Linked DNA regions of Arabidopsis thaliana. The protein of the gene in region 4 interacts with the protein of the main gene of each other region in a pairwise test. Each region holds a gene or a part of one and is shown on either strand. Other genes may lie near its edges.

Evidence for each region.
Region 1: the proteins of PYL5 (region 4) and PP2CA interact in binary tests that used the Arabidopsis thaliana proteins (3 or more experiments, as listed by UniProt).
Region 2: the proteins of PYL5 (region 4) and AT1G35560 interact in binary tests that used the Arabidopsis thaliana proteins (3 or more experiments, as listed by UniProt).
Region 3: the proteins of PYL5 (region 4) and MYB77 interact in binary tests that used the Arabidopsis thaliana proteins (3 or more experiments, as listed by UniProt).

The regions. Positions count from the first base shown.
Region 1 is NC_003074.8:3,578,723-3,587,510, forward strand, and holds PP2CA (protein phosphatase 2CA), read right to left. Parts: upstream 7,129-8,788; 5' UTR 6,928-7,128; coding exon 6,484-6,927; intron 6,399-6,483; coding exon 6,063-6,398; intron 5,971-6,062; coding exon 5,865-5,970; intron 5,773-5,864; coding exon 5,459-5,772; 3' UTR 5,060-5,458; downstream 1-5,059. Other genes in the region: EIF3G1 (eukaryotic translation initiation factor 3G1), read left to right, coding at 1-150, 439-467, 529-580, 1,097-1,644; AT3G11405 (uncharacterized protein), read left to right, coding at 2,173-2,637. UniProt on the Arabidopsis thaliana protein: Major negative regulator of abscisic acid (ABA) responses during seed germination and cold acclimation. Confers insensitivity to ABA.
Region 2 is NC_003070.9:13,113,208-13,121,372, forward strand, and holds AT1G35560 (TCP family transcription factor), read right to left. Parts: upstream 4,029-8,165; 5' UTR 3,918-4,028; coding exon 2,892-3,917; 3' UTR 2,619-2,891; downstream 1-2,618.
Region 3 is NC_003074.8:18,554,221-18,562,844, forward strand, and holds MYB77 (myb domain protein 77), read right to left. Parts: upstream 5,107-8,624; 5' UTR 4,832-5,106; coding exon 3,926-4,831; 3' UTR 3,387-3,925; downstream 1-3,386. Other genes in the region: AT3G50050 (Eukaryotic aspartyl protease family protein), read right to left, coding at 1-80, 166-263, 347-448, 534-658, 753-929, 1,057-1,129, 1,277-1,376, 1,465-1,547 and 4 more. UniProt on the Arabidopsis thaliana protein: Transcription factor involved in auxin response. Functions in auxin signal transduction and modulates lateral root growth. Interacts with ARF response factors to promote auxin-responsive gene expression.
Region 4 is NC_003076.8:1,605,604-1,613,894, reverse strand, and holds PYL5 (Polyketide cyclase/dehydrase and lipid transport superfamily protein), read right to left. Parts: upstream 4,908-8,291; 5' UTR 4,522-4,907; coding exon 3,910-4,521; 3' UTR 3,368-3,909; downstream 1-3,367. Other genes in the region: AT5G05450 (P-loop containing nucleoside triphosphate hydrolases superfamily protein), read right to left, coding at 69-182, 273-378, 451-530, 856-1,104, 1,235-1,471, 1,549-1,818; AT5G05430 (RNA-binding protein), read left to right, coding at 7,625-7,642, 7,790-7,821, 7,898-8,161, 8,243-8,291. UniProt on the Arabidopsis thaliana protein: Receptor for abscisic acid (ABA) required for ABA-mediated responses such as stomatal closure and germination inhibition.

The DNA.
Region 1 (8,788 bases), on a different chromosome or scaffold from region 4:
TCCGCAAGCTAGCTTCTGCTCGACTCAACAAACGAGCCATGGAGAGGAGGAACTGGCCTAAGTTCGGAGACGCAGCCAATGAGGAAGCTGGTAGCCATCTCACTATGGTTTCTACCGAAGAGATCCTTCTCGAACGACCCCGAGCTCCTGGTAAATTCTCTCCCTCTGATGATGATGATGATTCTGGTGATTTTTGTTTGTTGAGATTCGTGGGGTTATTGGTTCGTATTGAATTTGGAGTTAAAATTATAAATTTGTGCACTTTGATCTAATTGAGTTGGTAAAATGTTCAGTCTTATGGCTGTGCTAATTGTGTGAATAAGTTTCTAGACTCACCTAGAAAGATGTTGTTTGTGATATGTTCTAACTTGGGATTGCTGTCCAATTCATTGTTTGATTCATTAGTTTTATTGTTTAGTCTAATACTATTGGGTTAAGGTGACCAATTAGCGAATCACATGTTAGCCGTGAGGCTACTTGTTTGTGTGATTGGTCAGTATGTCACCGATAGCAGTTTATTGTTTGTAGTCCATTCCTGAGTACGAGCTGAAATGTGCTCTCACTTTTGTGGCTGCTAACTGTACACATAGATGTTGCAGCTTTTCATTGGTCTCCTACTTGATGTTAGGAAGCTTTAGTTTCGATTGTTAAAGCTTTTCTCCTGTGACATGTTGTCTCCCATTTGATGTTTGGAAGCTTTAGTTTCGATTGTTAAAAATTTTGTCCTGTGACATGTTGTCTCCTTTTGTGTTATTACCTTGATGAAAAAATTAGATTGATGTAGGAGTCACCATGATCTTGTGTTTCAATGAACCAATGTCAAATGGTTTGTAAACGGGCAAAGTTTAAGTTCCTTGATAATGTTACTAGGGCTTTCGTGATCAATCTATTGATAGGTGAATGACTAGTTGTATAGATAGCCATCAAAGATGATGTTAATCAGTGGCTTATAGTGCAGACATAGGTTGCTATGTTTGATTCTGTGGCTATGCATTACTGTATCATTTTAAAGTTGACTATGAGTTGGCCATTGGTTCACAACTATCTTTCATTCTTTGTGTAATTGTGTGTATCTTAACGGTGTGTGATACTTCAGGTACCAAAGCGGATGAATCAAAGGCAACAGGAGATGGCTTGTCTCAGCTGGGTAAAGGTGGTGCAGTTCTCATGGTGTGCAGGATATGCCACAAGAAAGGAGATCACTGGACATCAAAATGTCCATACAAGGATCTAGCTGCACCAACCGATGTCTTCATTGACAAGCCACCCACAGGGGAATCATCTACCATGTCTGCTGCACCTGGAACTGGCAAGGCCGCGTATGTCCCGCCTAGCATGAGAGCAGGTGCAGACAGAAGCGCTGTGGGTTCAGACATGAGGAGGAGGAACGATGAGAACTCTGTGCGTGTAACCAATCTGTCCGAGGATACCCGTGAACCTGACTTGATGGAGCTGTTCCACCCGTTTGGAGCTGTCACACGTGTCTATGTGGCCATTGATCAGAAAACTGGAGTGAGCAGAGGATTTGGTTTCGTCAATTTCGTGAGCAGAGAAGACGCTCAAAGAGCAATCAACAAATTGAATGGTTATGGTTATGATAACCTCATCCTCAGGGTTGAATGGGCAACTCCAAGACCAACCTAGAAAGAAATGTCTGATGTTGAGACCTTAAAACTCTTCTCATTCTCGTCTTTCTTGTTATGGATTTTTGTTTATCGACCAGTTTGTTTGTTGGTTTGGTTTCTGTATGAATAGATGAGAATTTGTTCAATTTCTCTTTAATACATAAGGCATGCTTTTTAAAAAATGGATTTGTGTGATACGTAAGAGTTTTCCAACACTTTTTTCATTGATGTCTAAAATTATTTGTGATGTTTGTTTAACATTCCCCGTTTCACAAAAATATTGTTTGACTTTTACTTTTTCGTTCTAAGATATCAATCAAAATAATAATCTTTATTAATGAAGAATATAACTAATTAACAAATGTTAGTACGTATATTCTTTTAATTGTAATTATAACATTTTCGTATCATTATGTAAAAATAAGAAAATTTCCTTTGTTAAATTTAGTCGAAAAAGTAAAATTTCCATTTATTTTTAACTGCATATATATCAGCTTAAGTAATTTCTTCTTAGTAGAAGGTCAAATTTTAGAATTTCATTGAAACAATGGAAAAGGTTTCAAAACTCAGTATTATCTTCCGTGACGAACTACAAAACTTCAACAATGACTATGTCGAAAATATAGATGTCGTCGGCAAAAAAACATCTAATTCATCATCGGACAATGAAAGCGACCAATTCGCCAGCTTGTTTGGTTCTTCGTCACCGTCTTCGTTTCAAATGCCTCTTCAGTACCCGAATTACGCAAAGGAACAGTACGACATTATGTCGGAGGAAGAACTCGATCGACTTCTCAAACTCTATGGTCTGCCTACAGATATCGGTAACTTGTCCTGCAAAAAAGAATTTGCAGTGGGTGCATTCTTGTGGGAGACGGGGTTAAATTCTTCTCTGGATGAGCATGATTCAGTAAACCCTAATTCGTCCATTGATGATTTGGAAGAGAGATCTTTGATAGGGTTAGTGACAGTTCTAGTAAAGGATATGGTTCAATTTATATTCCGTGGGTAGCAAGTTAAGGAAGTGAAAGCCTAATTTTGCTTGACCCTAAAGTTTCGTTTCTTGTTGTTTATATGGATGGATTTCAATTATTATGATTTACTATATCATATTATTTAATTTGCTTCGCCGTAAGCTATCGTCTGTTTCCTTTTCTTTTCTTTTTTATCGTCTGTTTTCTTACAACCGAACAAAAGTTAAAACCAAATTGAATAGGGAAAGAAAAATATGGTTTATATATTGCGGTTTGGAGAAACTAGTCGGGACAAGTTTCTTCTTAAACAATATATAAAAAGGACCAGCGACTCTAGCTGAGAGAATAATCTTGTTTTATATGTTTTAAAAACTGTATACCAATGAGAGAAACAAAAGCTTCAAATAAAACTTAGCTAGGACCAAAATCGACCAAGAAGGATAATAAGAGCAAGAGATAGACTTTGAAAACAAAGTAAAATCTATCTAATTAGATATAGAAGCATTATCTAAAAATATAAATAGAGAAATTCTAAAACACAAAAACAGTTTAAAGTTTCTTGTTGGGACCATTCTTCACTATGAAACTGCATCATAAATTCATAATCTGAGAGACTGAGACCCTTTCAAATCATTAAGATGATGATGTTACGTTCTGCTTATGGTGTTCTTATATGGTTTGTATTTGATTAGTATTTCTTTACTTCAGTTATTTAAATTTAAAGTCATTTTAATTTTTTATGCTCTTTAATTCATAAATTCATAAATTCATAAAAGAAAATATTTTTTTTTAGAATGTGTTCTACGTTTGGAATCAAATATCGTCAGTAAACAAATCCTTCTCCGTTTTATTAAACCTTTGCATAATATACAAATTTAAAAATGAAAACAATGATTATAGGTTTTACGGCCTATGCATCTTTTCTTTACCTTTTATCATTGATGGACTACTACAGTTGGTGAAAAGTCTTATTTAACAAATTTAGTCGAACAATTCACTTGTATGTTTGCACCGTTGAGCTAAAATCGTCTACCAACTATATTTGGTTTAAAATGTTATTTTTAACAATTTTAGAGCATTTCAATTGTGTATTTTGTAGTGAATATAGCTATATCTTTCAGGCAACATCGTCAAAAGGCTGACCAAGTTTCTCTATTATGTCCCAAACACATGTAATTAACGACATTTTAAGTTAACTTAAATCTATACTAGCAATGGATTTTATGTAGGAAAAAGTATAAAGTTAGTTGTTTTGCTAAAACTAGACTTATGATATAAAACCAAACTTATTGTTAACATTTTTAATGTAGCACAAGGAACTCACGATGTCATGTAAGCCTTCCTCAATACTATAAAGTAAGAACCATTAGGGACATGAATAGATATTTAATAAGACAAATTGAGACAACATTATGATGTATAGCGAAAAAAGGGAAAGAATAATTGAGAAAGAGAGGTCAACATCAAATCTTGGAAACCAAATCTCACATAGACCAAATAGACACGTGTTGCTATTTGATTGTCACAAGTAGGCATAATCTTATCTAAGCTCCCACTTGTGTTGTGTCCCTCTCAATCCCCAACTTTTATTGTGTTGCCCTCTCACTCTTTCCACAAACCCAACAGGCAACAGCTAAAAAAATCAATCCATCATTATAACATTATGCGAATTCCGATCTAATAATTTTATGGCAGTGCCTTATCTTTTGATGGTGAAATCTCCAAACTTCGACCAATTGTGATGTATTGGATTATCCAATCGAACTTTTCACGCGTGGGGATATAAATTTACCGTAGTTTTGGTTCAAATGTGGTATTTTCATATCCAAAAGATGCTAGGTTTACGAAAAATGTCTTCAACAAAACCCCATAATAATTGTTGGTTTAGAAAACAAAACATAACCTAACGTATGATTAATACCTAACAAACATTAATGTGAAGGGTTTATAAAAACATGATTGAATAGAATAAGATTTTATTATCTGGTCATTGTGGCAACTGGCAAGTGGCTAGTAATGGACGGTTAAAAGTATGTATTATTTTTTGTTCAAGTTGATATTAATTTATTTATAAAAGAATGTGAAGATCATATTCCTTTTTCTTACCCTCCTAGTTGATATTTTCTAGTCAATTTAATCAAAATCTGTTTAATTGATTATTGATTCCGACCTTAACTGACATTAAGCATTCGACAATGTTGCCAGACAAGTCTCTTAACTTAACTATCTTCATTAGTATTAAAAGAATTAATAAATCATTGTACTTTCTAGTTCTTATATTGATTGTCCAGATTAGTCTCTTCCACCAAGATATATATATATTTTTGTTGATTTATGTTTCTAATATTATCCTTGAATCTTTTAATTACAATTATGTGCTAAAATGCCGCGGTCTACGACACGCGAGTCTCCCATACGACCCCATACCAATAAAATAAATAAAATCTTCTTAAGATAGGGGAAGATTAGTAAGTAACCGGTTTGGATTCAAATCATCGTCGAGACTCATACTAAACCAGTTCGGATCGAATAACATTAACCGAAGTTTTAAAATGGTAAATACGCATAATCTGTTCTTTCATTTTAACATTTTTCCCCTCTGAATTAGATTATTACATTTCCAACGACCATACTAAAAGAATACATGTATAATATTACCTGAATAGAAAAATAAGAAAAATACTCAAACTATTTAATCAGCTCTTTTTCTTCCCCAGCCTGAATTAAGAGCTAACTAAAATAGAAAAGAAAAAACACCTTAAAATGAGAAAAACTAAAATAGAAAAATAAAAAGAATACAATTACAATTAGGCTATGTAACAATTATTCTAATACTACTACTAATTATAACACTAATTATTAAGACGACGCTTGATTATTCCTCCTCTTCCTCAAGTCAACCACAACGACGCTCACGTTATCGGAGCTCTGTCTTGCTAGAGCCAACTTTGTTAAGAGCAACGCCGCATCGGAGCACGCATTGTGCGCCGCATCTGAGTCGTCACCCGCACCAGCACCTCGAAGGCACATGCGAGCCACGCCACACGCCGTCTCGTTTGGTACAACATCCCATAGTCCATCACTCGCCAAGATCAAACACTCATCCTCATCAGTTCGATCCGTCACTGTTACCTCCGGATCCGGAATCACATACGGTTTCAAGTAATTATCACCTATACAAACAAAAACAATAATCATCAGATTAAATTCAAACGTGTAATTCAAAATAGCCTAAAAAGTCAAATCACAAGAGAGATTCACTCACCAATTGCTCTAGACATGGCAAGAACTCCAAGAACCCTAGCTCCATCCCAATATATAACTCGCCCACCAGCTTGTTGGATCCGAATCAATTCATCGGGTCGATCCGGCTGTTCATCACAAAACAAAAACTCTTAGAACCATGCCATCTTGATTCATACTAACCAATTCGTAATTCTATATAAGACATAATTTTAACTACCTTGTGATCTACGGAGAGAGGAATGGCTACACCGTTACGACAAAGCACAGCCCGTGAATCACCGCAATTAGAAACAATGATCTTCTCCGGCGTGACAACCGATACAACAGCGGTGGATCCGACGGCGTCACACTGAGGAGACTGCAATTCACATCTACAAGAATTTTTCATACTCCGAGTAGCACCATTAACAACTAAGTTACACTCTCGTTGGCTAACTTCTTTATCCATTTTTTGAAAACTCTTAACCATCGTCTCTGTCCACTCGTCGGAAGCCATAACTTCAACTTCCTTCTTCACTATATCATGCAACCGTTCTCTGCACTTCTCCGCAACCTAAAATCAACCAAACAAAACCCTAATTAGTAACTAATCACAAACAAAAGAAAAAAATATTACTAAACAGAGGAAATTAACGTACATGAGAGCAGCCATGGCCGTCAAAGACACCGTAGAAATGATGATTCTCAGAGTTCCGTTGAAGAAACGAAGGATGAATCGAGACAGCGTCTTCCATGTCTCGTCTTCTACCACAAACCGACGTCGTACCGATCTTAGGTACATCGGAAAAGAAACTCTCTGCTTCCGTAACAGAATTTGAATTCGTAACCGCTGATCTAGCCTTCTTATTCTCACTCCTCACATTCGAATCCAGATCTAGATTTCCCGGTAACGTCGAGAGCACTACTGTCTCACGCTTCTGCCGTTTACGGCAGTTTTCAAGCGGAGGAGCAACGGCGGAGTCAGCAACAATTTTGATCGACGGAAGTAGATCTAACCTCCGTCTAAGAGAAGCTCGAGAAGTTGAATCAACCGGTGCCGCCGGTTCAGTCTCTCCAACAACACCGCAACAAATCCCAGCCATTTGATCTCTAACAAAACTTCTCCAATTTACAGAGCAAACCAAAAACAAACAATCTCCGATTATGAGTCTTCTTCAACAATAGAGAGAGAGAGAGAGAGATATTAGTAGAGAGAGATTTTGTTGAGCGTTAGGAAATGCAATGTGATTTTAAAAAGAAAAGGTTTGATTTAAAAAGAAAAGTTGAAGAAGAACGCAAAAAAAAAAAAGGGTTTGATTTTCGCATGGAAGGGTTACACGTAATTAACGGGCAGGGGGGCATGAATAAGGGGAAGTTGCTGACCGTCAGCATCAACGGGCAGGATCCGACACGTACCGTTTGGTGTGACGTTCCATTTCCTGGTACCTAGATACAATCTAAACCGTCCATTCTTTCTTTTTTCCTAGATCTATACACGTGCCCTTTCTTTCTTTTGGATACGCCGTTAACGTGGCCCAATCACAGTTCGACACACCTTAACGGTAACGACCGGCCTTTCTTGACACGCATGTGGTCCACTCTTTCGTTTTGTTCTTTTTTTCTTTTATTTTGTTTCATTTAAATACGCTTAATACAGTATTATGCTGTTAATTAAGATTTAAATAAGTCAGAGGTCAAAATAATGGCCATGGGAGAGAGACAATCTTGTTATAAAATACTGGTTTTAATTATTTTGTCAACTTTTTTATAAATCAGAATAATCACTATGAGATTAATGTAATCGATAAAATCTCTGATAGTAGAAAATTATACAGTATGAGAAAATGTAAACCCCTTCTTTTTCTAGTTATGGAATCCTGAATGGTGAATACTCTGATAGTCTGATTGGTAATGCCAAACAGAATGATAGGTCAGCCCCACTACCCTTAAAACATATAAGAAAAATCTAGTAATATATACGATATGGTTCATATCATTTCACAAACCTAAGCAACATCAATAATACATTTGAATGTTTCCTGTGTTATTTTAAATATTGAACAAACCCGCTTCAATTTGTACAAAAGCGATGCCTCTGAACGTACTATCAAGTATAAATTTGCTTCTAAAATAACGCATCGTGAATCCGTTCCGTGATTACATATTAATCGAGGATATAATTGACATCCAAACTAAAGAAAATTTGCTTCAGAAATAACAATTTTGATCCTATTTGTACAAGAAATAACAAATATATATATCGTAAAAGGTTGATTGTATTGAATTGCCAAAGAGACTATTTGTACAAGAGATGTTGCCTAAAAGAAGATAGAAACGTATCTAACTGAATCTAGGAGAAGAGAAGATTAACATATATTCTAACTCTGATATTATTTCACACATGCAATTTGAAATGTTTAAACAATAAGAGTATATTTATGCTTGAAATTCTGAAATGCACATAAACGAAAATAAATTGGAAAATAGTTACGTGTATCTGATGAGTTCAAACCTCAGCATCAAACACTTCTTTTTTGGTTTTGAATAATTAAAGGTGGGCATTTGGGTTAAGTTCGGGTAAAACCCGATTAGATATGATTTTTTTGGATATAAAAGTTTAAGATTCAATGGGATAAATCCAAAATATCGGTTTGGTTTAAGTTTGTATCCAATCGGTTTTTAATCGGTTTGGATATAAATTTTCAGGGTCCTTTTAGAACCGATATCCGAATTTTTGAGTAAATACCTGAATTTTTGGATAAAATTTTAGATTTCGAATAAATTTAGATTTTCGAATAAAATACCGGTATTTTCGGATTCGACTTAGATTTTTTGGATTAAAAAATTTAGGATCCAATATAGTAAATCTTCGGGTTCAAGTTTAATTTCGAACCCAATATAATAAATCTTCGGCTTTGGTTTTTTTTCTAGTCCTAGTTTTGATGTTAGAATTTCATAACTTGG
Region 2 (8,165 bases), on a different chromosome or scaffold from region 4:
ATACAATATTTCTTCCTCACAAGAAAACTGAAATAGAACACACACAACGGAGTCATCGAATATGAACTTTGTTTAGCCTATGGTGTTACTATATATAACTTTTAATCATTTTTTGTGGTGATAAAAAACTTGTTATATATAGAGACATGAATTTTTAGTCTGACCATAGAGAAAGCCAAAAGTTTTAAATAAATTTCAGTTAGAAAAAGGTGCAAGAAACCTAAACGTTGTTCCCGATCTCGAAAGTGTAAAAAATGTTAAAAAAAACCATGGTTGCGGCCGGAGAAGAAAGAAGTGTTGGAGAAGAAATTATGGAAGCAAATAGGTCAAGAAACCGTGGTTTATTCAACTCAGGTCATGAAGGTTAAAACCTATAAACTCAAGCTAAAGTAATTAAATTTGCTTTCTCTTATTCATTTTGTGTTTCCCTTTCCTGAGTGTTAAGAGGGAGGAACCATTATCAGAGCTAGGTTTCATGTTGAAAACTGATGTGTAAAGATGGATTATGTTGATGAAGAACTGGACAATCTTTAAGCAAGATGCCTATACTAACTGGTCGTTTGTTGTTTTAAATCCGGCTATGAACTTGAAGAGCAGTAAAAAGGTAGTGTCAAAGAACATTGGTGATGCATTTTTGTCACCAGATGTCCAGATCAATGCAAAGAGATCTCTTCGTGAGGTCAACTTTCTTTGCCACTTGCATCATGATAAAATATGTTTGAGTTTCATCACTACTCTCTCATCGAGTTTATAAAAGCTTTGAGTTTAATCACAGCCAATAATTAATATCAGCTGCATGTTCCATAGATACCACGTAGAGAAAATGTTTTCTTGAGATCGATGTTTACAATGCATAAGAAATTATTAATAGATGGGTCTTCTCCCTCATCAAAATGTGCATGGAAGCAGAGCATATCTACGAAGGAGGAGGGTCGGAGATGGTGTATAAGGTCAACGGAAGGATGATTAAAAAAATCACCTTTGAGAACTGCGCTGTGAGAATAGAGGAGAAGAGAAATGGAAAAAATATCATTTAATCGTCCAACTTTAAAAAATGGTCATTTTATATTGAATTTTTATAGTATATTATTTTAAACATCAACTAAACATTGACTGCTGTATTAAACATGAGATTGTATTGACCTAACCAATATATATAGACATGACATTAAAATCCGATAACGGAACCACTAACAGTCGTTAACAATTCTGTTAGTCAAATTACCAACTTTCAAATTTAGGCTATTTTGAACATGAATTTCGTATAAGGCTATTTTAATCATCAACTAAATGTTGACCCGGCCAAAAAAAACATGATTTTAAAATCTACTAACATAACCACTAACAACTGTTATCAATCGTTAACGCACAACAAAACTAAGACAAAAAAAAATAAAAAGAATACAAATAACCAAAACACATGACTACAGAATAGTTAACGACTGATATCGGCTTTTAGTGGTTCCGTAATCACATTTTAACGTCATGTCAAAATTGGTCTGATCAACGCAATTTCATGTTTAATATGGCAGTCAACATTTAGTTGATATTTAAAATAGCTTACTATGAAATTCCTATATAAAATGGCCATTTTTTTAAAGTTGAATGATTACATGACATTTTTCCCGAAGAGAATGTTGAGAGTGATTTTATTTTTTGTCATCAGATATTATTTAGAGTTCAGATGAACCAAGATTGCGGAAAATTGTTTATATAGGTAATATGTAGCGGTTTGACACGAATTTTTCTTGCCAAATACTCCGCTTTGACATTGGTAATACGAGAGAAAGATAAATAAAAAATATGAAATAGTCAATACACGAATTAATAAAAGACAGAAGTTAGGATAAGTAATATTTTTATATTTGCATGTTAACGTTTTCTAAAATATTACTGATACACGTATTCTAGCAATTGTAATTGGTCAGAATTATGTAACAAGTCTTATGTTAATATGTAACTTGCTAAAGCTTAAGTTAGGAGCATGCTTCTACATCCCATATATGATAGATATATAAATCACAAGTAAAATAAATCATATTCTTTCTTCTTGACATGATAACATATTATTTCTAATATATTTTAAATATATTAAAAATAGTAAATATATAAAAATCCCAATAAACCATCTATTATATACACTTCCGAAATCAAATCCAATATTTTTTTTAAACTATATCAACTAACTTGAAAATATCAATTATCAAAATATATATCCGGGCTAACCCCTAGTCACATTAAAAACGGCATTTCGCCTGATTACCCGTCCAGCCTATTTTTCAAACACATTGGAATTTACTGTGGCATAGGAGTTCTCTCTGACGTGTCCATGTTGCTCCACAAGTGGACAATTTTTTGGTAGATACTACAAAAGTATGATAGACAAAATACGAATTTTAAAAGAGAATTAATATATAAATCTAAAAACCCATTTGTATCCAAACATGTGGTGCTCATGCACCCAATAAAGTTTATCACTACAGTCTACACCATATAATTTTTTATTTATATTCGTTAGCTTTTTACGAACTGCAATCAATTCGAAATATTTGAAATATATGAGCGGTCAAAGAAGGTGTATTCAATTATACCCTTCAACAAAAGAGAAAAGGCATTCTGATAAATATTTAATTTATTCTTTTGTCCATTATGTTACACATAGAGATTCAACTATATTTCCTTTAAGTGACATGCTTTTGCATCGAATAAAAAGAGTTGCAAAACTCGTTAATTATTATGCAACCAAAACAATAAATCCATTTTCTTAAATAACAATTTGGCAATCCCGAAAAGCCAACCCTAAAACCCATATTAACATTGGAGTCCTCAACAAAAGTTGCAATAAATCACACATTCACACTTTTTAAAAACCAAAGAAATCATGAAGTCTTTCAAGGAGAACCATCTATAGTAGGATTTTGGTCTCTAGTAGCATGATCACTCACTTGATGTTGAGGCTTTTGCTCAAGACTCATTCCGAGACCAACCCGACCACCGTCTCCTCCTCCGCCGGAAAATAGCCCCAAATTGTTATTTTCTGCAACACCTAACCCTAACTGTTGACCTCCCACTAACATAGACCCTAGCTGAACCGACCCGATTCGACCCGGGTAATGACCCGGATTAAACGCCCACATGTGCTGTGATGGATCCTGAACGTTAGCCGGACCTCCTCCTCCTCCGACTGGTAACATCCAAAAAGCACTACCTCCGTTTGTGGAGGCTGGCGTTGGCGCTAGTGCCCACATCGGCGGTATCATATTTTGTGTTCTTGACCGGGTCGAACCCGGATCTTGATCAGGAGCTTCGGATCCCGGTTTAGGTGATCTTGAACCGGGTTCTTGATCTAGAAAATTAGGATCTTTAAAAAGATCTTCTTCACGGAATGTTTTGGGAAGAGAAGAAGAAGAAGAATCTGTCGTGATATGATGAGGATGATAAAGCTGTTGCTGGAACCCAAAAACGGCAGCGTTTTGAGCCGCTCTTCCCATGTGGAAAGATTTAGACAGTGGAGCTGAAAGAGTAGAGCCACTGCTTCGAAGAGAGATGTTCAAAGTAGAGATATTCGCCGGTATGGTTCCAGTTCCGGTGGCTGCGATGATAGCTGGCTCCGCTTGTTGGAGCAGCCACTCTATAGTCTCGCCGTCCGATTTGTGTTGTAACTCACGTGTTAGTTGGAAGACACGTGCTGCGCAGATAGCCGGCATACGTATCCTCCGGCCACGTCCGTCTACTTTGATGTGACGGTCCTTGGACGGTCGTTTTGCGGGTGTTTTAGCGGCGGTGACGGTGGTGGTAGTGGAGTTTGGAGCAGTGGTGGTTAATGAGACTGAACCGGAGATTGGTCCCATGGATGGGACCAGATGGGCCGAACCAGTGGTGTTGTTGTTGCTCTGGTTGTTGTTGTGGGACTCCATATTGCTTATAAAATTTATAAATTATGGGGAAAAAAACACACAAGAAAATGGAATAAACAAACAAACAAACTTGTACTGAATTTTTACTTATAACCTATAAATTCTTGGAGTATTTTTTTTTTCTGGTGGGGCTATGAGTTTGTGTTGACTGTTGTTTACTTGTTTGGAGAAAGAGAGAGTGAGAGGAAGAAGATGAAGCAGCTTGTAGAAAAGAGAGAGAGACTTTCACTTTCTTTTTCTTTTGTGTTTTATTTTCATTTGTAGTCCCACTAGGTTTTTGTAGTAGAGAGTAGAGACCAATATTTGCTGTTTCCACACCAAATGATCACTTAACCTTTTTTTGTTTGGTTATTATCACACTTACTATATTGTAGTATAAAAATAATTATGCGCCGAATGTATTGAATTTTGGTCTAACTTTGTGAGACTAAAACTATTTTTAGCAATGGACTATGAAAAGTTTGGAAGTGTTTTACATGATTGAAAAAGGTGTGGATTGTCTAAGATTATAATTTTGGGGCATTTTTGTTGCAATCTTTAGATTGTAGGGATCTATTTGTTGGTTTCCTTATAAAGTTTGGCTTTTAGGTTGGATTTTGCATGGGTGGGAAACGTTGAATGTTCTATGGGGGAAAAGAAAAAAACTAATCACTAATCATAGAGCCAATTTACACCCAATATAATAGTGTTTTAATATTATTTATTTTTTTAATAATTTACTGATAATAACACAAATGTCTCTTTCTTTGATTCTCTATTTTGTCTTTGTTATCCGAATTTGATGAAAGACTTGTTGAGAGATAAGGACCACTGTTTTTATTAACGATGATACTAATAATTGAAGACTATATATAAAGGCTTCAATTCTTTTCCCATCTGCCAAATTAGCACCCACAGACATAGGTTATATATAACTAATCATCTCAACTACAATTTTTCTCAACGAAACCTATACATCTCATTCTAGATGTGAAAACTGTCTAAGAATAGTCCAATTTCAGCCTACTATGTTATATGCACATGTATCAGGGTGTTAACAAAGTATTCGAAATCAAAAAGTTTTAAGGAAAATAATTATGCAAGCGTAGTAAATCAATTAGTTTATTGATATTCACGTTGCTCTTAGTGATTAACCATGTATGTATAATCATATTAGTATTAATGCCTATTAACTGATTTATTGCAATATTTTAATTCATAATTGAATATTTAGACTGTATTATTGTTTCATTTTTTATATCAATTAAATTCCTTTATTAGGTTTTATGTTTTTATCAATCCAAAACCATATAATATATTATATTGCTAGCTATACCATTCGGAATCTTAATTTGGACACGAGCTTGAGCTTTTTGGCTGTTCTTAATGTAAGTTACATGTACGCACCGTGAGCTAAATTATAGATAACAATGAAAGTGAAACCAAACCACTATAAAAAAAACTTTATATTTGAACAGTATATTTTATATAATTTATATATATATATATATATATATATGCAATTATATTTTGAACTGTATATATAATCTCTCTTATTTTTTATTTTCCTGAAAAATAATTGTTGAGACAGATGCACGTGTAAGCATTAGCAGTGAAAGAAAACAGTAAAACAGTCAGAGATAGTTGAAGAAGTACAAGAAGCGAGTGATAAAAAAACGTGATGTTTGGTCTGAAACTCTGGATCCTCCCACGGTCCATTGTCTTGTCTCTGTTCTCTCCAAAAAGTGAAAATGTTCATTTACAAGACCATATAGTATGTAGCCTTGTTCAAGATTCTGTTAGAGCACCTTCATTGGATGGAGACTCATTGAGTATCTAAGAAATAAACTATTAATATTTTTTTATATACATTTATTTTTAAATAAATTATTTTAATTGCTTAAAAAAGTATAAAAGTATCAACCAATTAATGTTTTAAATGTGTAGGCAAGACGTTAAAAATAAAATAAAATGGTGAGAGAGTGAAAGTGTTAATCACTCTTCGACCATATATATCTCTAAAATGGTGCTTTTAAATTGTTTTAGAATCATCTACTGCCTAAAAAGCCCATGCTTTACAGGTTTTAGCTTTGGGTTGGTCTTGTGTGTAGGTATGATCTCATGAGTTCTCATCCAAAAAACAATTCTACTCTCTTTCATTCCCTTTAATTTCACTCATCCCATTTTACATTTCTTGTAAAAAGTTTCCTCAACCTTTCACTTCTCTTTGATACCACCTAGATACATAGAATCTCGTATTTCTATAATCTTGTGATATACATCGTACTTTTTTTTTTTTTTTTTTTAATGTAATGTTAAATTAAATCCAAAAAAAAAATAGCGTTTTTACATCTATGTGCAACATTTTGTTGAAAAAACTGGAGCAAAAACTAGAATACAATCTAAAAATTGTTTCTCATTCTCTCATCGCAAACCAAGCTTGTAAGCCCTTGTCATATCTCTTATCTCCACTTGCTTTGATCGAACAAAGCTGGTTCCGAGTTTGTTTGTCTATTCATTTGATTAAAAGAGCTGCTGAGTTTGGTTTCTCTCCATGATTCCTTCCGTTCCTTTCGCGCCAAATGGTGTGTACCGTGGCTTGAAAGAGATATCGCGCAAAGAAACTGTCAAGCGGTGTCATCCAAGAGCCGGAGATGGCTTGTATCAGGTCTTGCCAATGTGTAGAAAATCTGTCTCCATAGATTCCTCTTGCTAAGTTACTCCAAACTATCGAAGCAAAGTCACAGGAGAAGAAGAGATGATCCCGGGTTTCGGGAGCGTTGTGACATAGCACACAAGCGGCTGACTGACCTCCATTCCAATGAGTCATTCTGTCTCCTGTTGAGAGTCGGTTAAGAACTGCTAACCAAACACAAAAAGAGTACTTTGGCGTGGAATGACCAAACCAAACACCCTTATACCAATCAACGTCCATGGATATGGTCCGCATATGATTCAAGGTCTCTTTAGTCAAGAACTGTGGCTTATATACGTCATTTTTACCTTTCCAAAGAACAATGTCCTCATCCTCTGTTCTATCGTTTCTTTGTTGTAAGAGAGCTGTTTCTATGGCCTGAAGGTGAGTAGATCTGTGTCGTCTTTGTCTATAGCCTTCCCAAGCCTCTGCTACTGTTTTATGCTTACTTATTCCAAGATCAATTTGCCCCCGATCACCTACAACATCGTACTTCAATATTTCTTCCTCCGATAATTTTAGAATACTTTTTCAATGCTTTGTTTTTCCTTCTCTCATAGCATGTGACTAATATTGACAATCTTCTAACTCGTCTTTGCATGAAATGTTGTGGGAGACTCTTGTCTCAATGGTTCTTCCATAGTTAATTTTTCTGTTTCAGTTAAATGTATTTCAAATTTAGCTTTTAAATTTTGTTTGGGCATGTCTGTCTTCTGACTTTGTAAATAACTTTTTCGTTTCGAGGTAATATATATTCACAAGTTATAAAGAAAAAAAAAAAATGTTGACGATCTTACTCCGTTTTCAAATGTGTTAACAGCCACTTTTTCTGGTAGATTTTCCGGTGAAAGCACTAATTAGAAAACCAGTTTTTGGACATGATGGAATCCTCGTCGAGAACATTATATGCTGGTGTATTGGAATGTCATAAATAGAGTTTGCTTCGGTGAGAAATGGAGGTGTAAAATAGCTAGCTTAGAAAACTTGAAATGTTGACTTAACGGTCAAATGGTGTACATTTTGAAGAAAAAAGGAGAAACTTAAACCACGTGTATTAATATTACCAAAAGGAGAAACTTAAACCACGTGAAAATCAGTTTGTTGTGCCATACCAAAAGGCCGGCGATGCTGTATCGTGCCGACTCGGGCTGGATATGTGATTTGGGAAATGGGCCAATGAGTCAATGACCCAATGATTCTTTTTCCAAAGAATTGTATTAGCCGACAAATATTTTTGTTTAATTGTTTGACACAAAATCAATGTACATCAATTCACAATAAAGTCTCATTCTTCTTTTGTCTACATGAACGTCGAGTGATGCCCATCAGAATACAAAACCAGGATTATTGTGCAGTTTATTTAAATAAATAGAAATATATACATTTTTGACATAAATGAGACAAGAAAATTATTTACATCATTTAAATAAACATCATCTTGTTTTACTATACTAAATACAAGACTATAGTCGATATTTAGTCAAATGGATTATCAGGATTCCTTTTCCTTTGTAAGAAATTCAAGCCGAAGAAACAAGAGTCCAGAGAGAAAAAAGAAAGTAAAAATAACAGAA
Region 3 (8,624 bases), on a different chromosome or scaffold from region 4:
TCAACCAAGCTCCATAAGCTGATAACCCGACGATTACAGCGATGATTCCAATCGCGATCACGACAATGTTGTTATTCGTCCTAAAAAACGAATGGAAAAGAATTTTCTTTTTGAGACAATGGAATGATAATCTTTTAGCTACGGTTGAGAATGAATGGCGATTACCGTTTTCTTGGAGGCTCGAGTTTGTAATTAACCAGCTGATAGTTTCCGAAGATTTCAGGAAGCTTTATTTGATGATTTGTAAACCGAGAAACTATATTCTACAAGAAGCATAATGGAATATGTCATGTGAGAAGATAAAATATTGAGCAATGTAAGGAGAAGTCTTTTGTGTAATCATTACCGTTGCTGTGACATTTGAAAACCAAGTAGAAGGTTCAGGTGGGAGGACAACCATTCTGACGAGAGACTCGTTTCCTTTGGAGGTGAGATTCGATAAACTGACCTGTGACAGACACATTTTCACTCAATATTGGCGAAAATAGTGCTTAAGGCTTACAAGTTGTTGTGTGTTTATCAGTTTGGCTCACCTGTGAAGATTTGACATCGAGCTCCTTGGAGAATATCTTGGAGAGATCTTCAATCCGAGGTTTCAGATAGGACGAGTTGACTGTTAGTTGAATATCAAGGTTTATTTGACCAACTTGAGTCACACCTGAGGAATCAAGTACCACAAACATCAGGAGAAATAGAAATAGTTTCTTTTTTCAGTTTGTAATTTCCAAGACGAGAGAGTTTGTCGTGCTAACCTGACAGATTGCTTGATGAATTGTGGGAGGGATTTGAATCATTTGAAGGCAAAGTAGCAGGTGGTGGTGCACCATCAATATGAAGCCTATCCGATAACTCCGAACAATTGGTTCTCCAGAATCCAACCTTCGAATTCTCACGATCATACACAACAAGTGTATTACGAACCACAATTCCTGATAATAGTATAAGATCATTTGTTACAAATGAATCTGTTGGCAAGTAAAATGATATGCAGTATAATAACAAATGAAGGTAGCCATAAAAAGAGAAAAATCAAACAAAGTAATGATATCTATTTACCTCCTAAAAGAGTTGTGTGATCTTTTCCGTTTGGGAAGACACCGAGACAGTAAGCACCATGCACCTTGGAATGCTTTTATTGATCAAAAAGTAATCACATCAGCTACTGATTTGTGGCTAAACCAACACCAGACACAGAGAGACTTATAAATACTGCATAGAGTGCTAGCTATAGAGAGAACATGGAACTTCATAATAGGTTAAGGGCTACATTACTTACTCGAAACATGTAATTTTCAGGGGACAACAGCCATGACTGTCCACTCTTAAATACCATCTCGACCGATGGGAATATCTTTGAAAGTTCCGAGACATAATTACTTCAGCATAAACAATTATAAGAGTCAGTTACTTGCCTTGATTATAAGTTATGATATACACCACAAGTTTGCAAGAGATAATAAATACCTTGCAGCGACTTGGAAGCAAGTATCTTTAAAATTTGGATCAGGACCATCAATCTGCTTCAATGTGGAAACTTCTCTCATTACCTTCAATACAACAAGATAAGAGCCTCATGTAAGATAAGCAACAGAGAAACAGGGAACTTAACTAAACATTAACAATTCTCAGAACAGTTCTTACAGCTTCCTCAAATGCCGCAAATGCTGCGTCTGGAAGATAAGCATATGTTGTACCACTGTCTAGTACGGCGCCATGTTCCCCGTCAAAGACTCTCGAATGAAGAGACAACTGCTTCCCAGCAACACGTATCCCCGTCAAATCTATATTGTAATATGGACTGTCGCCATCCCGAAACTAGAGTAAATGTGTGAAAGGTATTAAACGTATTTGTTAGGATTATACAAGATCCCATTCACCAATCAGAAAAAGCCATTCCCTTGGAAACATACCTACGATCAGGGTCCGAGTCCGTAAACACCATATCAGATGGATAATCAAAACCGCCAAGAATCATCGAACCACCACCAACATCCATCCCTCCATAACACAAACCAAAAGAGTTGCTTATCAAACCTTTATCCACCAATTGATCAACAAGACTAAGATCTCCTTGACCTAATCCAATAATCCCATCAGCACGTTGACTATAAAGATCACCGGTTTCAACAGTTTCACAACCGAAAACAGCTCGTTGAGGTGTTAGCTGGCTTTCATTGCCAAATGAAATAAGATCTTCTCCAAGAACACCTTTACTACTACTATGTTCAGCATACTCTCTCTCGTAAACACATTGTTCTCTATCATCATCACAATTACAATCCATGTTACACTTAACAGGTTGATAAGTGCTAGACATTTCTGGCTGAAATTTTGGGTCCTGATCAATAACCATAAGAAAGTTTCAAAATTTGCAACTTTACACGAGACAAGACACAAGATTTGGATATCTAGAGCCATCATTACCTGGTGTTTGCCACATTGTTCACAATCAGAACAAGGAACATAAGTAACAGTACTACCAGAATCAACTATAAGAGCAAACATTTGTGGTGGTGTACCAATCCAAAGCCTCGTAGTGTAATACCTACAAATACGATATAATAGTATATAAAAGAGACATCTTTACATGACCCAGATCGGGAAATATGGAAAAGGAGATTACCCATTAATAAGAAGATCGTCGTAGAGTCTCATGCGAGAGTGAGGAAGTGATTTTGAGTCGGATTTGTGGAGTTTTCGATGTGGGATTGATATGGATCTCGAAGAAGAATTTGGTTGAGAGAGGAACAATGGGAACACCATGGGACGTCGTGATCTAGCGGTTGGAGATTGGTGGAGGAGGTTGTTTTCACCAGCTGTGATTGAATAAGGAAGAGATAAATAGATTAGGAGTGAGAACGTCGCGCCGATTGATGAGATCGACGGCAGTGCCATTTGATCTCCGGTTGGATTTTTCGACCGTACCGTCGGAGAAAATTGGAGGGGAATCAAAAGAGCTGAGTGAGTGGAGAGAAGAGGGGAGACTCGAACGTAACTTTAGATCTACGGGAACCAAAAGCAGCTTTCTTTGAGACAAAACCCAGTTATTGAAACGACGTAGCTTTTGTGTTTTTAACGCATTTTTTTAACCTCTACTTTTTAACATCGCTGTACCAGTGTTTATTTATACTGTAGAATGGTTAAATAACATAAAAATCTTCCTACAATTTATTTGAAATCTTTGGCATGTTGTAAGAGATTTTACTCTATAGTAATTAAAAAGTATGTATTGTTTTGTTGTTGTCAGTTTTTTTATAGATTTAAAACGAAAAAAAAAAACTGATTTTCTAGACAATGTATTTATTTTTTGTAAGAATGTAGAAAGATTGATCTAATTTTTACGATAATTTCTAAATTGTCGAAAAATAATTATGTTAACAAAAATCCGATTTGACAGTAATTAATTTTATATAAAAGTGAAGTAATCTACCAAACCTATAGAAAAGGTTTAATTACTATCTATAGACTATAGAGTAAATCTCTTACAACAAGCAAAAGATTTTCAAATAAAAGGTTCGAATGTTTTCAAATAGATGTTAAATCTATACCTTTGTTGATTTTGATACTACATGTTACAAGGTCTCACTAATCATGGTTACTGTATAGCTCTATGAAAGGATTAACATGAAATTCATCTATACAATATGTAAGAATGTAGTTATCCTACATTTTGTTGACTAACTCAGTATGTCTCTTTGTATGATAATGTCTCACTAATCAAGGTTCAATTTTTAGATTTAGACTTGTTATAGATTTTGGTTATGAATCACCAAAACAAGTAACAAATATTTGAGATTTAAGATTATTCCATAGAAATTTTAATTCCTCTGTACATTTTGTTTTTGTTTTTAATTTTACCATAAACCCCAAAAATGAATGCTCTTGAAAATCCCCAATCGATTCAAGTTTTAACCCTAAACCAAAACTACTCAACCTTAGGTGTTATTACTCCACAATCCCTAAAACCACCATTGCCGCCGGATTCGTATAAACCTCCGACGACGAATCCACCACTTGTTTTCTGCATTTCCGCCATGTAACTCCTCACTTCAGCTTTTATCATCTCCTGCACCACCGTCATAAACTCACCTCTACGTCCTTCTCCTCTCTCCTCTACATTAATCTTCATCTGACTCTCAAATCTCGGAAACATCAACGCGTTGTTGTTATTGTTATGGCTCGAACTCGTGTTCTCAGCTCCAGGTAGTGACAAACTCAACGAAGTAGGTGGATCCTCCGAAGACGAAGACATTTCAACCGGTAACGGCTGCGGAACCACCGTAAAACCGCCGGAAATCGGCATTGGTTTAAACAGCTGAGCAACAGGAGACGACGGTGACGGAATCGTGCTAGAATCACTAACATCGATTCCGTTAGGACTCTCAGGACTCATGTACAATCCAGTATCCACCGGAGCAAAAGCAGAATCAAAGCTAACAGATCTCCTCTTCTTCGGCCGATCCTGATCTTCCTCCGTCTCCGTCACCGTCGTAACCGCCACACCTCCGCTGCATTTCCTCTTAAGCGTAGAGTTCCAGTGATTTTTAACGGCGTTATCCGTACGACCGTTAAGAAGACGAGCAATCGTCGCCCACTTGTTACCAAACTGAGCACGGGCGGTTACAATAGTCTCATCTTCCTCCGGCGAGAAAGGACGATGCTCAACCTCCGGAGATAACTGATTACACCAACGTAATCTACACGATTTACCAGATCGACCTGGAATCGATTTGCTAATCGCAGACCAATTCCTCGGTCCGTATTTCTCAACCATCCTTCGTAGCTGCTCATCTTCTTCTTGACTCCATGGACCTTTAACACGATCCGCCATTGAAACAGATCTTTTGTTTGTTTGTTGTAGAGAAGAAGAAGAAGAAGAAGAAGGTGGAGGAAACTGAAGAGAGGAGAAAAAAGGTATTTATAACAGAGAGAGAGATAGAGAGGAGGATGGATAATAACCGGTAACCGGTAGAGACGGTGGAGAAAGTCATGCACCGCTTCTTCCACGCAAGCGGTTTTGAAAGTTTTGGGATACAGCTGTAGGTGTACACGTGTCGTGATCTCGGTGCGTCTGTTTATTAGTTTATGGAGCGTGTGATACAGTCGAAAGAGAGAAAGGGGAAGCACGCGCGCGTGAGAAGAGAGTGGGAAAAGAAGGGAAGTTAAAGCGACAAAATCACGGAAACCTACAAGGAAAGAGCTCTGATATTATTCGCACAATCTGAGGTGAAAAATTAGAAAGCTGTTTTGAATGTTTATTTGAAAAATAATAATAATATCTGAGACGATAACGGTTAGGTTTGGCAGTTTGGGTAAAGACAGTTTTTTATGCAGATTTCTGACTTTTTTGACTGGACACGCCAGCCTGTATTCCTTGTTATGCAAATTTACCCTTTTCTCTGAAACTTTTTTCCTTTTATTTTATTTTGTAGAATACAAAACGACTAATTTGAATTTTTTTTTGAAGTTACATAAGGTTTAAAGTTTATGGGTCGGGAAATATTGGAGGATAAAATTTGATCACAGTGTTCTAAAAATATTTTTGTTTAATTTAAATGTTATTTTTGTTATTGTATTGTATTATTTTCAAATTGGATGATATATTTAAACAATAAAAATAAAACTGAAATTTTTGAAAATATAAATGTGTAGAAAATATAAAACGACATTAGACTGACACAAAAATTAAAATGCAAAACGACATCTAATTTGAAACGGAAAACGTATTAGATGTTTTTATAAAATATGTTTTGATTCGTTGAACTTGAAACGATATTCGTAACGCTTTTGACCAATAAAGTTTATACATAAAATCTGCATAGAATATAAAACGACGTTTAATATGACACAAAAATTAATATGCAAAACGACATTTAATTTGAAACGAGAAAAGTATTAGCTACTTTTAAAAAAGTATTTTGATTCGTTGAATTTGAAACTATACTTGTAACGGTTATGCTACGTTTTAATTATTCATAGATTTCTTTTTTTTTTTTTCTCGAGAATACAATACACATAATTTAAAATTTGTATATTTTTAAATTTTAAAGTAATTGCAAGTATAGAGCTGGCACTCTTGAAAGTAAAATTTTGATTACACATTTTTAAAAAAAAACATTAACTAATTTATGACTGGTTAAACAGTAATTGTAACAGTTTTGAGCGATGAAATTAATATTTTTTACTTCCTTTTGGTTTATCTTTCTAACTGAAAAAGGTTCAAACTGCCTAGTGCTACAAATTTGGGATAAAAATATTTGTATCGTTTATAGAAATGTGGTTCAGTTTTGTATGGTTTTTTTGTCTGTGACTATTTGTTAATGGTACGTTTTTGAATGCCCCAAATCAAAGTCATATAGTATTTACACAATACGGGAAACTACATTTATATGATTAGATACGATTAATATTCTGTTTCATAAACTTGTTACAAAGAAACGGCCACACAAGATAAAAGTAAGTGGTCGGAAAAATAAAAATAAAATTTGCTGACATGGACAACACGACAAAAGAGTGTTAGGCCAATTGGAATGTGAATGAAATCATATTTATTTATAATATATAGTTTTTGATTGACGAAAATCCAGGCTGTAATCCTCAACAAACAACTAACTGTCGTCCATTAAGCAAACTGCCACGTGTCAAATTTTTGGAACTGTTTTTGAAATTGTGTGTAACTGTCTCTTACGTTAGTAACGCACTAAACGTCATTTGCACCTTCTTCCCAACCTTCATCGAACGGTTTCACAACTTATTTTTTAATTTATCTTTTTCCGTATTTTATGTCGAATTAGTTACATACTAATTAGTCAAATTATAAACGGATTACCGAAACTATTTCAGTTTTGATGTTGTTGGTTTTCAGTTTACTGACCAAACTTTCCCTTAATTGTTATTTCTTTCATACTAATAATACATTCTAGTGACGAAACTAATATTATATGCTGTAATTTTGGGTCTGTAGAGATTACGGGTTTCGGCCCAAAACCTCCTAATATTTTAAAAAAATAAAAAAAAATAATAATAATAATACACTTAGTCTTGGTTATAAAAGTTAACAATATGTTTACTTTTATTATGTGTTCCACATTCTAACATGTCATATTTAAATGATGGTTTTCTTGGTGTATTTCTAATCGAAAACTTATCCTATTTAGGTTATATTATATGGGTTGAATTAGACTATAATATATACCATGTTAAGTTTTATTGGTTTGTAAACTAAATTGAGGATTTGTAAATTGTTTCGTGTTACTTTTTTTTTTTGTCGTAAATTGTTTCGTGTTACTTAAACATTGTTTAGATCTATTTCATTTCGGATCCAACATTTTATTTTGGGTCAATGTATAATTGACACGTACTTTTGCTGTACACTTAGCTAGATTTTGAAAGATGCACGTGAACATTTGGTGAACACATATACCTGAGAGACGGTGCACGATGTAGAATATAATTCCAACAATGTGTGTCTTAGAAACATTGTAATTAAAATATTGGTAATAGGTTGTTGTCAAAAGGAACAAGACGGTGCACGATGTGTGAATATATAAATCAAAGTATATCATTTGCTGTTTGTTGTTAATTAGGGTCCATGCTTCGATTGTCGGGTTTGTTCTCCTAATTTTTAAATTCATTTTTGTAAGGTTTGCCTAACAGAAAAACTCGTTCGATATATCTAAACAACGATAAGCTTTAAATAACATAAAGATCATAATACTAACACACGGTGGTAGATTAGTCGGTGTAAGAGGCGGAAAAACAAATATATGTTGACTGAGTTCATTGTATCATTCGAGACTTTCGAGTTATTTACCATTTAGTGGAATTTTATTTACAGGAATGAAAATTGTTATCTTGTCCCAAAAATATTCGTATGAATATGTTCTCTACACATATACAAATAATAAGTAACATTTAGGATAAACTGTATTCGTATTTATTAAGATATTCATGTTGTTGCCGTTAGTCATATTGAGTGTTAGTTGTTCCATTTAGCCGAGCTCTCTTGGTAGCAAGGGTTCGATACCATTCTCTTCCAATGTGGTTAAATGTGTAATTGTATAAAGTTAATTCATTTTTGTTACTTCTATTTAGAAAATAGATATAGAATTGTTATTCATAACTCACCGTAGACAAACTAAAAATTTAGAAAGCCAAATTGGAATATTCAAATTTTAGCATTTTAATATTCATTTGGTTGAGGAGGAAGAGCCACCAACCAAACCATTGAGTCTGATCATCTTGATATTATTGTAATTTATGTTTGTTTAATATGATCTTTTTAATTTCATTTAAATTAATATTATTGTTTATTATAATTAATGAAAATCTAAGAAACAAAAAAACTTTGTCTTCTTCGTTTATTCATCGTTCGACTATGAAAACAAAACATATCCAAAAAATCAATTGCGAGATTGATTGAAAAAACAAAAATCAACAAAAATATATATAAATAAATTATATCATATGAATTTATATTCAACAAAATTAATTACTTCGTCATTTTTTATAGTGGTGCAAACAAAAAAACTAGTTTGGAGGTTTAAAGAATTAGTAAAATTACTTTGATGGTTTATAAATGTTAGTAAAAGAAATTCGAGGTGTACCAATGACACTTTGAAGGT
Region 4 (8,291 bases):
ACCTCTGAATCTTAAATATTGCAACAAAGATGTCATAATAATGTAAACAAAACATTATTGGAATCTACCTGAACAACATAATCAATGCCTGGAATATCAAGTCCACGTGCAGCAACGTCTGTGCACAGAAGGGCACCACTTGATGCTTTAGTAAACGAAGCTAATGCCTTGTCTCTTGCATTCTGATGTGTTAAGTATATTTCATCAAAACCTTTAAATAGCAATAGGTAATGAGGTGATAAGGAAAATTAAAATCTATCATAGTAATTTACCTGCTTCATATCCCCATGGATAGGAATTAAAGATATGGACTTCAGGGCAGGAATTTTTGAAAGTACGAGTCCCCAGTAGTCAACAGAAGCACAGGTCATGAAGAATCTGCAGCGTTACTTAGACTATTTATAAGGATGCTTCATTTTATATAAGTCTGTGTGGAATATTTAAACTTACACTATAAGCTTTTTATCACTGTTCTTGATGAGGAGATCAACTAGTTGTGATGATTTTTTATCTGCTTCGCATTCCATATACTGTAGAGACAAGGAGAAATAAACCGCTAAGAAACGCATCGGTAGGACATGTAAAGATAGAACATCGGTTTCTACTAAAAAGAAGTATATACATATGCAACACATATGATCAATAGGTATTTTCAATACAACAAACTTGCTACCAAGAGAAGGGAATACAATAGAGCTACGAAGAGAATCGTATAACTACTGGATACTTACAAATTAGAAGGAAATCCTTCGTAAATCAGGTCACAGTAATGCTAAATGATAACGAAGGATACAACAGGAAAACTAACTACTCTGAAACATATTATTACATAATTATATATTGAACTTATGCTACCTCAAGATGAAGACCAGAAGGGGTTTTCGAGTTTGTCAATTGCTGGGATGATTCCGACTTCGACTTAGCTCGAACTTCAACTCTCACAGGGTTCCTAAGCCCAGCCTTGGCGAGCTCTTCAACGCCCTCTGTTTGTGTAGCTGAAAAGAGGCCAGTCCTCCTCTGCTTTGGCAAGCGTGAGATAATGTAATTCACCTGCCTTTGGAACCCCATCTCCAAAAGCCTATCTGCCTCATCTAGAATAAGAATCTACATACGCAAAACGATTCAGTTTAAGTAAAAAAACTAAACTTTTAAGTTGTTTAGACAACATAACCACACCAAGCTATAGATTCAACAACATCTATCTTAAAACAAATCCTTGATTGAAGAAAAGTACCTCAAGATTTCGAAAATCCAGAATCTCCATTCGTTCCATAATATCAGAAAGTCTTCCAGGTGTACCAATCAAGACATTGCATCCTTCTTCTTCAATAATCTTCATGTCAGCTTTCACCTCTCGGCCTCCAACAAGCAACACAGAGTTCACATTTGCCAAAGTCGAAACAAATGGTTGTGCGACATTATATATCTGCGTTGATAGCTCTCTCGTTGGCGATATAATCACCCCCATGACCTGTAATTTAATTTCAAAGATAAGCTCACAATCGAAACAAAAATCCTAATTTCCAGATTAGTTGGCAATTATCTTACCTGGTGAGGCTTCGGAGGGAATGAGGTGGATCGACGGAGGATTTCTACGAGGGGAACGACGAAAGCTAGGGTTTTTCCAGAACCAGTGGCAGCGTCGACGGCAACATCCTTGTAACTACAGAGTAAAGGGATCGTCGCGGCTTGAACCGGAGTGCAGAACTCGAAATCAGACTGATTAAGAGCCTCAATGATATCTCCGGAGAGTGGAGGTTCGAGGTCGGAGAAACGCGTCTCCGTTAGAGCTTTGTTTATGTTCGCCGATGAATCCATGACGGCCGCCGCTGCCTCTCGTTGCTCACTTCCCGCTTTAACCTTGCAGTAACCTTGCAATGACTGAAAACAAAACGCAGCGTTTTGATCAATTCGGTTCGGTATTATGTTGGAATTCACAACCCAGGCTTAAATACTGAACCGGTAACCAATTGATGCCCGGATTTCTCCCAGAAAAGCTTTACTAATATGAAAGAAATGTATAATTTCGGCCCATTTGTTTTGAGCTAATTCTTGGGCCTCGCCACTTATAAATATTATTACCGTTCTTAATCAGACATTTGAAGTATCTCAGCACTAATTTGGGACAACAAAGGATAAAATGTCACGAATAATTTTGTAAGATGTGGTACGATAGTTTACGTATCTTCATTTTTGTGTATTATAAACAAAAATTACTTTTAAAATTTTAATCATTTGTGTATATATGGATTTGAATATGGTGGTGACACGATGATAGTGATAGAATAGTACAAATATGTTTATCTCAATTTATTTGTTCGAAAAGAAAGAAAAAGAGGATGTTTTACCAAACACAAAATAAAGTGATACAATAGATTATAAATATAAAGAATTTTGTAGCAATAAATACTATGATATTTAATACTTATCTTTTGATTCGTACCAAAAAAAAATAAAAATTGTTATCTTTTGAGTTTTGATATTGGTTATACATTTGTTTTTCTTTACATCCAATATTATATAGTAAGATAATTTTAATAACACTAATCAACATTTAATCAATAATATAGTAGTGTGCTTGATGATATATAATACTCTTTTGACAAGATTTTGATAATTTGTTATTGTCCTTGTTTGTATTATTATTAAAAGGAAATTGGATAAAAAGAAATATTAACTCTTTAAGACCGGCATAAGGGTTCGTTGTATCATATCCCACTAGGGGCAGAAAAAACTAGCAAGTTGCAACGCGTTTCCAGCTAAATTTTAATTGCATGTCCTTTTAGACTTTCTTAAATACAAATTTTGAATCGAACGAATTATAATAAACCCACCAGAACAAAAAAAAAAAAAAAAAAAACAGTAGACCAAAAACTTATATTTGAATTAAATATAACCCACTAGGTTGGTTGGTTATAATTTATTAACAAAACAAACGGGAATAAAAAATGATAATCTCCACTTGACCAGACTAGTAGCCAATGAAAGACTAGTTGGTAATAGTTTAAGCACGTCTACTTTTGCTTTAGGTCTAATATATATGTTTTATGTAAATGCACATGCTAATCAGGTTTAAATTCCATAACCTGGTTTATAATTTCCCTCTTAGTTAACACGCAGTTCCATCTACATATAGTACCTTCTAATAAATTGTTACGTCCCGAGAATATTATGTGTAATAGACAGATAATTCGAATATATATACTCAATACTTAAAGGTAATTTGATGTTCCCTTAATATGATCCATGATGACGATAAATCTTAAAGTTAAACGAATTGGAGTTTTTTTATTTCTGAACTTTTATCTCTCTGGTAATATTATAGACAGTGGAACAGTTATTGGCTTCATTCTAATTGATTCTTAGATCAGAATATCGGCTTTGTATTATATTTTCTATTTAGAACATTTGGACACAAGGATCAACCAACAAAAAACAAACTTATAGTAATGTTACATACTATGAAGAAATAAATTAATAAGTCTATCATTAACAATACCGATGCATCAAATATTCATTTACAAACCACAAAAGAAAAAAACGGTTAAGAGTAACATTTAAAAGAGTACAAGAAATTAAACAATGTCACAAAGAATGATACCATGTACAAAACAACAAATGGATTAATTCATTTAACAGATTCACCTTAAAATGTTTTATGTACCAGTACTAACACCCTCCAAATCCAAAGTTTTGTGAATCCCCCAACAGTACTTCGAAATTTCCAACATAAATCTCCCAAAGAAATCCCCATTAAATTACAATTCTTTCTAAGCCGATATATCTATTTAAAAAGAAAGAAAAGGTACTCGAAATTTTCTTCCTTGTAAAGAAGATCGAACATCTAAAAGAAATAGAACAACAAAAAAAATTAGATACATAATTGCAATTTATATAAGAAAGATGAGATTATTGCCGGTTGGTACTTCGAGCCAGAGACTGAAGGTTGCACCGGACGATAGTATCAACGAAGCTTAGAGTTTCCTCCTCCGTGTTTCCCGGCGGCACATCAACGATGTAAGACTCCACCACCACGGTACCTTCGTCGTCCGACGCGTGTAGTGTCGTCACCGATCGGTAGTTCTTGAGCCTGTGGTCCCCACCAACGACACTAAAGCTTATCACGTGACGCTCCTCGTCCAAGATCTCGAGCCTCTCGGTGCTCGAGACCGCCGGGAGTCCAGAGACCACCATGACCTCCCGGAGATCGCCGACGTGTAGTCCATCGCCTTGGACGATACGGCACTGTCTGATGAAGTTCTTGTAAACCTTCGGATTATCGAAACGCCGCACAAGAGCCCACACGGACTCAGGCGGCGCGTGGATCATCTGCACCACCGAGGAGCAACACTGGTCCGGACCAACGTCGTGTGTGTGGTGCATCGCAACGTGTTCAGGGACATGCATACCGCGCGTGAGACACACTCTCTTGATCGGACCATCGGTCTGATCGTGAGGCTGCAGCGTGTGGAAACCGTTAGTGGCGTCTGAGCCGTGTTGGAGTTGCACCGGTGACCTCATGATCTCTCCTCTATCTCTTAATTTGTTTTTGGGAGAATTTATGGAATCGTATATATTGCGATCGAGAGAGAAATAAGTTTGATGAGAAAAGAAGAGAGCTAGCTTTTTGATCTTGTTCGCTGTCGGTTGTCAAGTTGGTTTTGTTTGAGAAATTTAAAAAGTATGATCATCTTTTATTTTATAACAATAACAATAAGATATGAACATTGTGTGTTTTTAAAAATATATATTTGAAGATAGATGGATAGAGATAGCTGGGGATGTGAAGGCTTTGTGTTTGTATGTATATAGAAACAGTTGTGTATATAGACGCATTTGTATCATATAGATGTGTGTGACCATGTATGATACATTGTACCATCTTATGCCCCCATGATTTCTTTCCTCAGACGCCTCCTTCATTATCTTGAATATATATCACCAAAATTAATTGTATTCTATAGATCCCTCATTTCCATCTTGATAAATTTTATATTATAGAATCTACAAGGTTTATCTACATATGAATACTGTTAATAAATTGTTCATAGAAAAAACTGAAATTTCAGAATTAGTTTTATCTTTTTTTTTTAAATAAATCATTAGTTATAGTAAAATATGTTGCTGTTATTGTTAAAATTTACTTATTATATGCACATTCTGATCTTAATCTACTAAAGTGATAGTTATGAGAAATAACATGTACAATTTTTGAATATCACACGACTGTAACGCGCATGATTGATTGATTGTGGTAAATTTTAAGATAGACATGGTCATCATGGCGAAGTAAAAACTACATACATGCATGAGCACACGTGCATGCACAGATGTTGATGGGTTTGTCATATATGTGTAAATGGCGTATGTAAATGTGGTGTATGTATGGAGAGAGAAAGTCGGAGGACGGTGAGAGACCTTATCAAAGAGCTTACGCCGGACGAAGCAAGTGGATGTTGCAACTTGCAATCTTCTTTGGACTTGTTTAGGTGGAAGATTATCCTTTCCTTTTTTTCTCTATTTTCTTTTGTTCTTGTTGCCCATTTTTATATTATATTCTCATCATATAGTACAAAGGTTGTTGCATCGCGACTTTGTAATTTTTTCAATAAATAATAATATTTTGCGACATGGGTATGGTACTCTACATCAAGTTTCATGTACACTCGAATTGTATAGGCATGCAAACGTGCAATTTTACTATTTTTTTCTAAACCAACTATGATAATTGTCGTAATTAATTATAGAGGAATGCATTCAGTAATCCCACTACATTTTTTGAAAAGACTGATCTACAAGAAAATAATATTTATACGGTATAAATTATACCCTGTCAATGAGATAAAACGTAAAAAAAAAATGTAATCGTAATTTGTAAGACTAGTTAATAAATCTTGTGGGTTTTTAGAAATATTCGACCATCACACCAAAAAAAACAAGAGACCACATGTGGGTTTTTAGATTTTGTTTAACTTTCTAATTAAAAATTCAAGGCCCAATCGTTTGTTTTTTTAAAAATATTATACGAAATCATGCCCTGTAAGAATAACGAGAGAGCTTCACGGAACTCATAAGACCATCTCCAATGGTGAGAGCCTCCTAATGGGATCTCACCATTTTTTAAGTATAAATCTTTTGAATTTGTAAGATGAGAGCTTCTGATTTTTTTGAAAGATTTTTCATAGTCCAATGGTAAGTCTCTTTTAAAAGAGTTGTCTGGAAAAAAAATTATTCACAATAGAAAAAATGAGAATCATAGAAGAAATGTCTAACATGAGAGGCTGAGACCATATATTCACAATTCCTTACCATGTGAAAGCAAGTAAATAAAGAGGAATGAGATAGGAGAGAATAGAAATGCAGTAGACTTCTTGACAAATTAAAACATAAAGGTCAAGGTCAATAGAAATGTAAAACGATATGTGGAATGTTCCGTTGTATGGTTCCGGTCAGACATGATATTACTCTGTTGGAAACTTGCTGCAGGAAATAACAACATATCAGGTTCACCACTAAATGATTGCAAAGGAAGATCTATGGAAAGTACATAGATGCACCAACAATCTAAACACATGGCCATCACCTTTCCAAGCTTGTAAGCCCTCTTCACTTAGAAGAGCAGAACCAACGAAAATGAGTTCCTTCACTCAGAGTATAATCAACCAAAATGAGTTCCTTCACTCACTTTTGAGAAACTGCAAGTGGTACAGCCAGAAAAATACCCACCCAAATGGATTATCCCCTGAAGCTCTCTCTATTAGCCATCAAAAGTGATATTAGTCAGATACAAAACACCGTAAAGGAAACTATCGAAACACAAAGATTAGACTTTACCACAGGTGGGGTTGAAATATACTTCACTAGCTTCTTCACGTTAGATGGGTATCTCAAATCAAAGCCAAGATCCCTTAATCAACCTAAAATGTCCCTAAATTCTTTTCCAAATCACCACATTAAAATCACAATTAGAACCTCAAATTCCACAACCTTTTGCAAATTCTAGTTCAATAGCTACGAGAATCAAAGAGCAATCGAGAGTAAAAGTCCAAAACCCAGACAGACAAAATAAAAGAAAAACAATAGGACAATGAAAACCGAGAGACAATCGAATTTAAGAACAAACAAAAACAGTTCTATGAATCAAGACGAACGATAAGATTAGAAGAACAAACCTTGCAAAGTATGGAATCCATGAATCTCAGAGCCGATAAGCCTACCGAAATCAACGTCGGCCAGCTCGTTTCAGGTAAGTCCAATGATCCTCAAAGTCCCAGTGAAAAGATGATAGTAGAGAAAAAAAACGGAAAAAAAAAAGAAATACTGAAAAACAACGACACGTATGCGTCTCTCTTCAGCTCCAAAATCTCTCTTAAGAGAAACGATTCTCTCAGTATTAAACCTTTATGATTTATTTTTTTCCACAATAATTTAGAGAGACTGTCATGAGAGCTCCATTTTTCTCCCGTTGGAGATGCTCTAAGATACTTAATAGGAACCATATGGGGCTAACTAATTCAAGGCCCAAAATAAAAAGAAAAAAACAACTATAAATGCCCTCTTCAGACCTAAATTAAATCTGTTAAAAGGGTTATCGAGTCTCGCTCTTGTCGAACAAATTTTAGCCATGTTCTCATCCACCATGGTACTCTACTCTTATGGCTTTTCTGATTCACTCTGGTTTCTTATCTTTGTTTCTCAATTGATGGTTTCTTCACAAGTTTGTAAGAAAAGTACTTGCAAGTTAGTTAGCAGTGCAAGTGTTTCTGATTTGATCTCCTGTACTTTTTAGGGAGCGAAACGGAATAACATTCCAAAACTGAGGTAAATTGAGAATTTGGTATGTGTAAGGTGATGCATGTTTTCAGATGTCACGTTGATAGTATTATTATTATTGCAGTGACGTTGGGAGGATTAAGGTTACGGGATATGACACTGGTCTTCCGCTTGATGATCTCTACACGGCGTTGGCAGAACATTTCTCTTCATGTGGAGAGATCTGGGAGATTTATATTCCCTTAAAATTTGATGAGACTAATACGATTCTCAACAGGTTTTGGTGGCTTCTTCCTCCTCCATTTCTTTCCAACTCATCAGCTCAAGTTAACGTGGGAGGATGGAATGTCTCTGTTGAGGCTTATCCGTATCCGGCACACGCAAACGAGTAAACACTGATTTCTTAAAAAAATAAGATTTGTTGATAATAATAATGTTTATCATCTCCGGCAATATCCTATTACTGCAGTAAGGTTATTGTAAGAGTTGAAGGATATGATACTTCGCTTAGGAAGAGT